Linked DNA regions of Drosophila melanogaster. The gene in region 2 interacts genetically with the main gene of each other region. Each region holds a gene or a part of one and is shown on either strand. Other genes may lie near its edges.

Region 1 (4,902 bases), on a different chromosome or scaffold from region 2:
CTTACTCTATTACTCTTGGCTCTGCTTTTTTAGATTGCCTATCATGGATTGGTCTGCAGGAGCTGAGCAAACATTATTACACGTACAAGGGTTCGCTGACAACGGCGCCGTACTTTGAGAGTGTCACCTGGATCATATACCGCACCCCCATCTATGTGTCTCGCGGCCAGGTGCGTGTTTTTCTCACCAAGATGATCCCCCAAATACTTTCATTTGGAACACTAAATTTGAGAAACCTCTTTTGATTTGCAGGTTCAGGTGTTTCGCAATTTGCAATCGTGTCCCAAAGATGAGTCCAAAAAGATAGTCAACAATTATCGCGAGATCCAGCGTCCGCACAAGGATCCGGAAATCTTCTTTGCGCGCAACACCAATCCAAAGTCCAAGTTATAATGTGCTTGCCATATGACTTGGATACAATTCTACAATTCCCGCTCCCGCTGACTTTCCTTTTTCCAACCTTTCGCGCAATTTTCTCCGCCCAATCGCCTATCTAAACTATAGCTATGTGTAAACATTTATCTGTCTATGGTTGTCTGTAAGCTGCTTTTGTTATTTGCCTCATGTACATAGCGTTATATACCTAACAAAACATACATATACATACATACATATATATATATATATATATATATATATATATACGGAGTATTTACGATACGGATACGTGTATGGAATTTTAGTCGGAGCACGCGGTTGCCTTGCATTGAATATTTCAGAGAAATATCGGGCACAACTACTTAAGACATCTACAAGAGACGTAATCCTAACGTTTAAGTTATTAAGATAAACAGTGAAAGCGAGAAAAAGAGGAAAATAAGAACAGTAAATCAACACATTTTGTATGTCCAAACTGAATTTATTAAACATCTAATTAAACATGTATAAAAGTATCAAAAAGTCATTATTAATATTAAAATGCTTATGTTAATAGGAAGAATGGATTAAACCTATGCAAACATTTTTGTCACAATACGTGCTTTTTGGGCACCATCTTATTTTTCGAGTAAGAGAGGCACTATGTTCTGGATAAACCAGGCCTTGGATATGGCCAAGTGATCACCTTCGACGCCGAGAAAGACAAGTTGTCCTTGTCGATGCATCTTGTCCAGTCCCAGCTTTAGGAAAAAATGTACATTTCATATTAGAACGTTAGGTGATAGATATGCATACGTACATCCTGATAGACTTTGCTCTCAGTAAAGGGCTGGATGACTTTGTTCTGCCCAGTGGTGTAGTATTGAAACCACTGGGACTCCTTCGGCTGGACAATTGTGTCGTTTAGGAACTGCACCATCACAAATCTGCAAAGCAGAGGTTAATAATATTTGATAAATGTATAAGTATAATACGCGCTTACTTCTTAAGCTTTTGCAGATTCTCAATGTAGAACTTGTTGATGAAGAGCTCGTTGTTAATGTCCGCGAGAAATGTGCTGCCCAGGCGGTATTTGTTCTCCATGATCGGGTCGTGCCAGTAGGTGGCCTGAACCAATGCCTTCTGCACTTCACTGGGTGTATGGTATGCAAGAGAGAAGAGAGAATTAACACGGAAACGACAAGGATGGCGACATGGTGGTGTTGGATTAATAAGCATGTAAATTCCAGGAATTATATTATATTAGGATTCCTTAACAACAGATAGACTCACGGTGCGTAGGCGGCGTTGTCCAGTAGCCTCGTGATATAATCACAGGGCTTTTCGGTTAAGGTGGGGCACATGGGCAGTCCGAAGATGCCCTGGTGCTGCCCACCGAGTGTGATAAGGTTCCTCATTGGCGGATTCGGGCAACGTTCGGCAACCGCACGCAGAAACTGGCCGCCTTGCGAGAATCCGATGGCGTGGTATCCCTTGGCCAGGTGCTCATCCTGCAGTAGTTGCTTGCAAACGTAATCCACCTGTTCGTTGGGATGTATGAAGAAGCCGCTCTGCCAGTCTATCAAAACATTGCCGCCGATCTGCAGGGATCGCACATAGCCGCCCTTTGTTTGCTCCACGATCAGGTTCATAATGGCACCCAGGCTGAAGGGTACGCAGCAGGTGTCGCCCATTCCGTGCCACAGAACGACCGGCAGGACCTCCGGATTGGTTCCTCCTTTCGTCGGGCTCCACCATATGTAGCTCAGCACGAGGGAAAAGATCAGGAACAGCAAAAATAAAATGCATGAAAAACGAGAACAGCAGATAGAAATCATTGTTGTTGGAGTGCAATTTTTGCAAATCAAATTAGTCGTCTGCTATCGATAATATATGGTTCGATAATATAATCGGGATATTTCATGTACGGGATGTACCTGGTCTTATTTATACCTAAAGGTAATTTCGTACTGCGTGCTTTAACGCAACATGAAAAATACTGCAACTATTTTTCCTTTCAAGGCAACAGGCTTGACTATATAACTGTTCAATTAGGTGCATTTTTCGAAGCCCTCGTCTACATTGCTGCATTTATTGGTACTTTATTGTGCAGCTGTGAACAGAAAATTTACATTTTCCAACACTGGCGTCTAAGCAAAAGTAGAATGTTGTGAATACCCCGAACGGTAAACAAATGCTAAACAGCTGATAGCAATAACACATTTTATTCAGCGAGTTTGTTTCTTTCGATTTAAACTCGAGTTTTAATGTGGTTTACTATTTAAACGTGACAAAGTACTATTGTTAAGTATGCCAAAACACGGCTTAAGTTGTTTATAAAACCGGATGCTGGCTCATAACCTAGGTTTCCATAAAAAGCGCCTTTTTTCAAACATGAAGGCTGTTTTACAGGATCGGGGTGTCATAGGCTTATCCCTCGAAGAATGCGATTTGGAAAGAACTTTGCTTGGAGGACAGAGTTTCCGGTAAGCGCTATCCATACTAATAATGAACATATGTACTCAAAACAACTTTACATGCCAGATGGCGATCCATATGCGATGGTAATAGAACGAAATATGGCGGAGTGGTGTTCAACACCTACTGGGTGCTCCAGCAAGAAGAATCCTTCATAACTTACGAGGCATACGGAACCAGCAGTCCTTTGGCCACGAAGGACTATTCTTCCTTGATATCTGACTACCTACGTGTTGATTTCGACCTAAAGGTCAACCAAAAAGATTGGTTAAGCAAAGATGATAACTTTGTGAAGTTCTTGAGTAAGCCTGTGCGCCTCCTTTCTCAGGAGCCGTTCGAAAACATTTTTAGCTTCCTTTGCAGTCAGAACAATAACATCAAGCGGTAGGTGGTTCAATCAAATGCGAATCCCATCATTAAATACAGTAAATTGGTTTCTTCTTAGCATATCATCTATGATTGAATGGTTTTGCGCTACATTTGGCACCAAGATTGGTCACTTCAATGGTGCCGATGCGTATACATTTCCCACGATAAATAGATTCCACGACATCCCATGCGAGGATCTTAATGCCCAGCTAAGGGCTGCCAAGTTCGGTTATCGGGCCAAGTTCATAGCACAAACGCTGCAAGAGATCCAGAAAAAGGGGGGACAAAACTGGTTCATAAGCCTAAAGAGCATGCCGTTCGAAAAAGCTCGCGAGGAGCTGACACTGCTACCCGGAATCGGATACAAAGTGGCCGATTGCATCTGCCTTATGTCAATGGGTCACTTGGAGTCAGTGCCCGTCGACATTCATATTTACAGAATTGCCCAAAATTACTACCTGCCACATCTAACCGGCCAAAAGAACGTAACCAAGAAGATTTACGAAGAGGTCTCGAAACATTTTCAAAAGCTACACGGAAAGTATGCCGGTTGGGCTCAAGCTGTAAGTACACTGAAAGTTGCAATTTAGTCTGTGTGTTTCTTATAATATCATTATTTCAGATTCTCTTTTCTGCCGATTTGAGTCAATTTCAAAATACTTCCACAGTTGCTTGTAAGAAAAAATCCAATAAAAAACCTAAAAAGTGATCTTATCTATTGGATTAAAAAAAAAAATATTCCTACTTGTAATATTTGAATATTAAAATATAATAGAAATGTATATACTAATGTATATATAAATATATATCTAAACAGAGAAAGAACTTGATACTGGGTTTCATATATCTTTTTTTTATTGCTAAACAGATGTAATTGATTAAATAAAGTGTACATTAAATGTCCGTTTTGTATATACATCGCCATATTTATGTGTACAGATTGCGCTCGAATTTGAAATTTAGGATATTCAAAATGTGTTGTGTCCGTTTTAGAAATTCATCACCTAAGGAAACCACTTTTAGATACGCATACAGATGTTTAGGATATGCTTATGAAGTGGTTATTCGAATCTTTTATTGGAGTGAGCACTGTACAAGTGAAAGTTTCAGTATCTGTATCCGCATTCGTATCCGTGTCCGCATCTTTATATCTGTCCGTATCTTGATAAAAGTCCTCGTCTACAGGCCTCCATTCGCCTCCGCTGATCCCGCCGCCCCCTGAGTTCCCTGTTGTTGTTGCTGCTGCTGCTGCTGCTGGAGCTTGCTGCTCTGGGAGAAATCGATACAGGCGCCGGAGGTGAGATCAATCTCCTCGGAATCGGATCCATCGGAACCCTCGTCGGAGTGTCCGGATAGGGCGGCCATTCCGCCCAGTTCCATGCCGTGCGACGGCGCCTTATAGAGCTTTAGTTCTGTATAGGTCTTCGATAGCTTATCCTGATCCGTGGCCTGCTGGTGTCCCTGGTGCTGTTGTTGCTGATGCTGCTGCTGGAATGCCGGGTGCATCATGGTGAAGCTCCCCGAATTGGGTCCATTGCCCACCTCCGCCAGTTCCGAATCCTTGCTCGCGGAAGAGAGGTTCTCCGGCGTCTGGCTGGGCGGTCGAGCCGTAGCTCCGTTGCCGGATCCGCCCTGCACCGCTCCACCGCCCATGACGGGGGGCGTGCCCAGGCTGAGGCAGCGCATCCGCCAGGCGTC
Region 2 (5,782 bases):
TAATTTAAGCCCGCAGCCCCGGCGGTGTTTTGTATTTTGAGATACAACTTTTCCCGCAGAACCTTTTTCATCTGTTGCCAAAACTAAATCTAAACCATTTTAAACTAGAATACGTCTGTGAAATGAACCAGGTTTGGGTGTTTTTTAAACTCATCGAGGTGTTGCTGGGCAGTGTTTGTATGTTTTTCCACATACGCGGCTCATCCTACTGGCCAGAGCGTACTCCTCATGTGATCCTATATTGTGCCACATTTTCGTCCTTTACGGCGCTCGCCGCTCTAGGCGCGTTCCGACTGCTATTGGCTAGGAGTACGGTGCTCTCCTCCCAGCTCCTGCTCACACTGAGTGCCGTGCTGTCGCACTATTTCTGCGGCGTGCTGATAATGCGCACCGCCATGCTGGACCCTCACCTGGCCTTCATCAATTCTACCATCGAGTATCTGGAACATCCGCACTTTGCGCACTGCAAGCAGCAGAGCATCGCTGCGCTGGTTACTGGCACCATGTACCTGATGCACATGTTCCACGTGTTCGACCTGCTGATGCGCATGGAACCCGGCGACTGGAAACGTCAGGCGACTGGCCGTAAGTACTTTGAGGGAACAGAGTCTGGTTCAACCGGGCTATTTGTGCTTTCCAAGCCAGTGGACGACTTTCTATGCAAATGCTGCAGGTGCTACTATAAGTTGGCCAATTCTCAGATCCTGTACTTCCGGCCGAACGCGGAGGTGGAGCAGCCGCACTTTATAGTCCGCATGTGGCAGTTCATTGGGGATGCGCGTAAAAAGTTCTTTTCGCTGCATCAGATCGAGAGTGACGAGAGTTTTCTATCAACGCCAACAATAACCACCAGTGAATCGGATATCACACCGGTGGACACGGAGTACAGTGTGTACATGGAAGAGCAGGCCAATAAGATGCGCAGGTCTGCTTCAGCCTGGCGCGGCTCCAGCGATTCCTCGAGCTTGTGGGCCAAAATCGAGGACAGGAGCACTGTTAGCCTTGTTTCAACTCGGTCAAGTGAGAACAGCGAGGCCACAATGAAACCCATTCAAATGGATCGGAAGCTAGCCCGGCGATCTTCCATGTGGGCGGACACTGAGAAAAGGGAGAAATCGGAGATTTTGCTGGTAGAACAGGGCTCTAGCTATTCTCGGCTCAGAACTTTAAGCAATGCTGAATTGGTCCATAAGCCAAGCGATGCGGGAGAAAAGGAACAACAAGTTCCAGATGCAGCCAACCCAAATATTACAAATGAAGAAGCTACGAACTCACACATCGAATTCTCTTTGAAGCCTGGAACTGAGAAAACTTCGTGAATTTGATGACGACTTTCCCTAACGAAAATTGTAGCTATTGAAATTTTTTGTTTTGATTACGTCGATGTATTTTTACCATAAGATACTATAGCAGTTTATAAATGAAACATACCTGTATGAGAGATACGTCTCCATTGGCCAACAAATTGAGGGTAGCCAAAAGCATCCATCCGCTGCTGGTTTCCTCGGTGGTTTCCACCTCGAGAAACTTGACTATGGCAATGGATGCCGCCTCTGTGCTCTGGTTGGAGGCGCGCTTGCGGATTTCGCTGACCATGAGACGGGACACTTGCTGGCAGAAGGCGACCACGTCCCAGAACTTTTCGCTCATGTCGTTTGACGGACAGCTGCTGAAGACCTGTAAGAATGGGGAGTTAGTGGCCTATTCCTCCATACCGACTGATTCACTCACTTTGCAGAAGAGGGGCAGCATCTCGTAGAGCTTGTCATCGCGCTCCTGTTCGCTCAGCGGCTCCCGCGGATGAGTGTATTCGTTGAATAGCTTCTTTAGCGTGGTGAGGCTCACTTGGACGCGGGCGTCCATCAGCGCCTCCTCCGCATTCCGTCCATTTGCAGCGGTCGGTGCACCAGCATCCGTTCTGCTGCTCCCTGGTGAACTGTTGTTCGCCGTCGAGGTTCCGCTACTGCTGCCGCTGACGCTGCCTGCGCTGGCCGCTCCGCGCAGCTTACGCATTACATTCATCTTTGTGTTTGTTGATTTGCGGTAAGATTAATCTAAAAGAGAGAAAATTAAGTTGACTTAATACAAAATATAAGACTAATCTAATGGCTGTACTATGAGGAATGTCATTGATTTTTTTGCAAGGGGGTGGCACTTTCTACATGTGTTTTAATAATGGTGATTCACTTGTTTACAATGTTATGCCGTTTAAAAAGATTATATATTATTCGATAAAGGTGTAAAAAGATATTTCATAGTATTTTGAAACTTTTTACTGCTGTAGTTTAATGAACTTTCCCACTTTCATGCAGGTTTCAGTTCAAAACGTGTCGCTTCGCATTTAAACATATGTTTCCATAGAACCTGTGCTTATTGTAGATATTGTATCTTTTGAACATTGGAGGTGAGATATTTTGGCGATTTATTTGCACAGCACTGACACTTTCAATTGAGTGGCTTCCAAATCACAACCGCGCACAGTGCAGTTGGCGTTATGGCTTGTTTTCGCAGCTATTCTATTTCTGCTGCCGCCGCCTTAATTAGCGGCCGCTGGAGGTGAATCACACGAAAAGTGCGATCATTGTATTCGGTGCGAGTATTAACTTTTCGCGAGTGAATGAACGTTGCCTCTGTCGCCGACTCGATTCGATTCGTACGCCTACATAGCGAGCAAGCGATTAACCGATAGTGGTTATTATTCCATATATTCGGGAAATATTTACATTTTGTGCGAGACAGCTGTTCTTGGTTTACTTATTGCGCACTTGTTTGTTTACTCCAACTCCCTTTGAAACTACCGACTATCTGACCTCTCTTTTCTGCCAACGCATTTGGTTCAGCTAACGGCCGCTCTGTTGTTGCTTTTTCGTAGTCCGCTTAGCGCTCTCTTTCGTGTCGCACTTTGTTTTGCTCCAGTCAATCGCGCCTCACGACAATTTTATTGATTTTTCTTCCTCTCTCGCGTACTCTCACTCGGCCTCTCTGCCCGCCACCCACCCTTGAACAAACCAGCAGATAGGTCGAATTTGAAAATTTTCACATGCACTTTTCCGGCTTATTTCGTGCAGCCGTCACTTACTTTTGCTATCCGTCGCTAGCATTGTGTTTCCCGTGTGAGTTTTCACTATTTTGGGCCCTAAATGCACTCGTTTTACATCTTGTTTCACGTATGAAAATATGAACCAAATTTTCTCCAGCTTTTCGTCTGTACTCTCTTTTCGTTATTCTGTCGAGTGTTGCGTAGCGCTGCCAGTGGTATCAGCTGTTCACATTTTCCACCACCGCAGCCAGTGCTCATTAAGACCAAACGCCAGTGCTGCATTTTGAATTATGATCGGCGGTCTAGCTTTGGCATTTCAAATTCAACTGTACTGATAAGCAAATAAACAAGACCGATTTGTATTAATCTACTTCATTTTATTATTTTTATTTAATACAAAATCTTTTGTATGTCGCCAACGATGTGCTTATCTTCAGATTGTATATATTAGATCGCTTACTAAACTAATGGCAACAGTTTAATAGAACTAAACTGATTTATCTCATAAACTTAGCATCTAAATTGATACTTAATTAGCACTTACTTAATGTTCATGTGTGCTCATAATTAAGTTCATTATTGTTAATAATATTATATGAGTGCTTTCGCATCTCGGCTAACAATTGGTATTCTTAGGCCATTGGCCATTAATTTCCAAATTTCTCTCTCGCCCAATATTCGCATGAGTGTGAGATTCTTTATTGATTCTGGCTAGGGGTTATTAATATTTGTGTTTGTACTTACAGTTGTTATAATTGTCAGCATCAACAGATAGCTGTCGGATATGACAACAAATTTATTTGCATATTGATTGAACGAACACCCGATGGCGAACTTCATGCGTTGATAATGATGCTATTTGCTGACTCATTTGTGGCAGAGAATGCTGTAAGTTTATTGGGATTGATTGATTGGTAAGGCCATTAAATGCCACGCACGTCCTTCTGATCTAATTTCCCTGTACCCGAAACCAATTCGCTGTGTCTCCCCATTTTAATGCGGATAAAATTTCGTTTTTGAATCAATTAGGGGTGCAAAAGAATAAAGGCGTGTCGTGCTAAATATTTAGTTAGTAGTTATCCCCATGACCAACTGCCTCGCTCCCCAAAAATAGTTTACCTTTGGGCGTTGGCCCCGCCACGCCCACTGACCCCTTGCGTGACTGCCCGTATCCACCCGCTCCCACAGTCCTCTTCAGTTTTCCAGCTAGCCAGCCAGCCACATAAGCTAAGCTCGGAGTTCCCTAATGCTTGTTTATGTGGGAAAGCGTTTGGGATTGGCACTTCTCCAGGTATTATATCTTCCCACCCAGACAGGTACTTTGCGCACTTTCCCGCCCGACAAACCCCCCACCGCGATTTGTGGGGCAGGGTTGTGGGGAAAGTCCTTTGTCTGCGGCAATATTCTAATGGATTTTTCCGTTTCAGTTATAAATAGAGGCCCCCTACAACTGACAAAAACGGGAACAATATCTCAGGTGCCAAGAAGGGGTAGACCAGTAAAATGATATTCGGTAGATTGATAGCGCACTAAAAAAAAAAACTCGTGAAGTTGGCGCGAACATTCTATTTACATACAAACTCTTATGAGTAAAGTGACATCAGCCTATTTCATCCGCTTAATCTTCCTTTAAAGGTGAAGTGCAATACCCAGCAAAATTTTAAGTGGATTTTTAAGTGAATTTTCCGAGGACCGCATATGCTGCTCGAGGCGTTTCCGGAAAATTTAAAAGTGTAACCCCAAAAATCATTTGCACAGCATTCATGGGGGACTCATTAGGCGGGGCTTCCCCCTTTCTGTCGGAACGAATAACTTTTATTTTTCGCCCCAGAGTCCTCCACTTCATCACGACGCTGTTGTTGACAATGAGCGAAACATTTGCGTATCGAAATTGGCAAGACCCCGGGCGGCGGCCAAGGATATTCCGGCCTCCACATTCCCGTAAGACATGAATATTCATCCTTTGGCGGAGCGAGTCCCAATCGAGCAAGAAGATGCTTCAGGTTGCCGGGGCTTTTGGGATTAACATAAAATTTCAGTTGATTGTGTTTTGGTGAAGATTTTTATGGGATATAAGGGATTTTATGGGGCAGCTAACTTGTTGGCCTCGATGCCTAGTGAAATCTCAACGGGCCATAAGATTGATGGCAATTGCTTATACAATGGCCAAGGATATTTCAGCTTTATCGCCCATGTGCCTGAGTGAGTGGTTAAGTGTTGATGTGGATTTTTAAATTTGACCATATTTAAATGATAAAACTATTAGGATTTTTGAATACCCCCCAAATTGTAGAGTAAAAGGGTATGTTTATAATCGAACTGGAAGGAAGTCGTATAAAATGTGAGGGCTCTTCACAAATCCTAGCAATAAAAAAAAAACACTGATTATTCCACTGCAAACTGTGTTTTACGATGGAATTCGGCCATGGTGGTGGGACAATATGAAAGATTGATGAGCTTTCTTTGATGAGCTCCCGACAAGGTCGTTCCACTTTTTATTTTGGGTACGGTGTGTTCTTGTTGATTCTTTGCTCTGAATGCGAGTATTTGCCTGTGAAATTTTTCAAGTAAATATGAATTGGGTAAATAGCAGATAAAGTGCTTCTCGTGCTATAAAAGGAGAAAACAACGACGAAAGGAGGCACAGTTTCGCATTGATTTCATAATGCATCGATTGGTGGTCATATTCAGTTTCTGCCTGCTTTTGGTCGCAGGACAATCGGTCGTGGAGCCCCAGGTGAG

Evidence for each region. A genetic interaction does not mean that the proteins touch.
Region 1: of bchs (region 2) and Ppt1, changing one enhances a phenotype caused by changing the other (phenotypic enhancement), as found in Drosophila melanogaster (one study listed by BioGRID).

What each region holds. Positions count from the first base shown.
Region 1 is NC_004354.4:8,687,785-8,692,686, forward strand, and holds Ppt1 (Palmitoyl-protein thioesterase 1), read right to left. Parts: upstream 2,444-4,902; 5' UTR 2,295-2,443; intron 2,263-2,294; exon of another isoform or gene 2,235-2,262; 5' UTR 2,196-2,234; coding exon 1,651-2,195; intron 1,511-1,650; coding exon 1,361-1,510; intron 1,305-1,360; coding exon 1,178-1,304; intron 1,119-1,177; coding exon 996-1,118; 3' UTR 843-995; downstream 1-842. Other genes in the region: CAH3 (carbonic anhydrase 3), read left to right, coding at 34-170, 253-393; Ogg1 (8-oxoguanine DNA glycosylase), read left to right, coding at 2,704-2,843, 2,902-3,219, 3,281-3,767, 3,827-3,913; CG11294 (uncharacterized protein), read right to left, coding at 4,384-4,902. UniProt on the Drosophila melanogaster protein: Cleaves thioester-linked long fatty acyl groups such as palmitate from modified cysteine residues in proteins or peptides.
Region 2 is NT_033779.5:5,904,585-5,910,366, reverse strand, and holds the start of bchs (blue cheese), read right to left. Parts: upstream 3,199-5,782; 5' UTR 3,080-3,198; intron 2,055-3,079; 5' UTR 2,023-2,054; coding exon 1,732-2,022; intron 1,678-1,731; coding exon 1,432-1,677; exon of another isoform or gene 1,320-1,431; coding exon of another isoform or gene 123-1,319; exon of another isoform or gene 78-122; intron 1-77. Other genes in the region: CG14000 (uncharacterized protein), read left to right, coding at 123-1,319; CG9021 (uncharacterized protein), read left to right, coding at 5,706-5,777.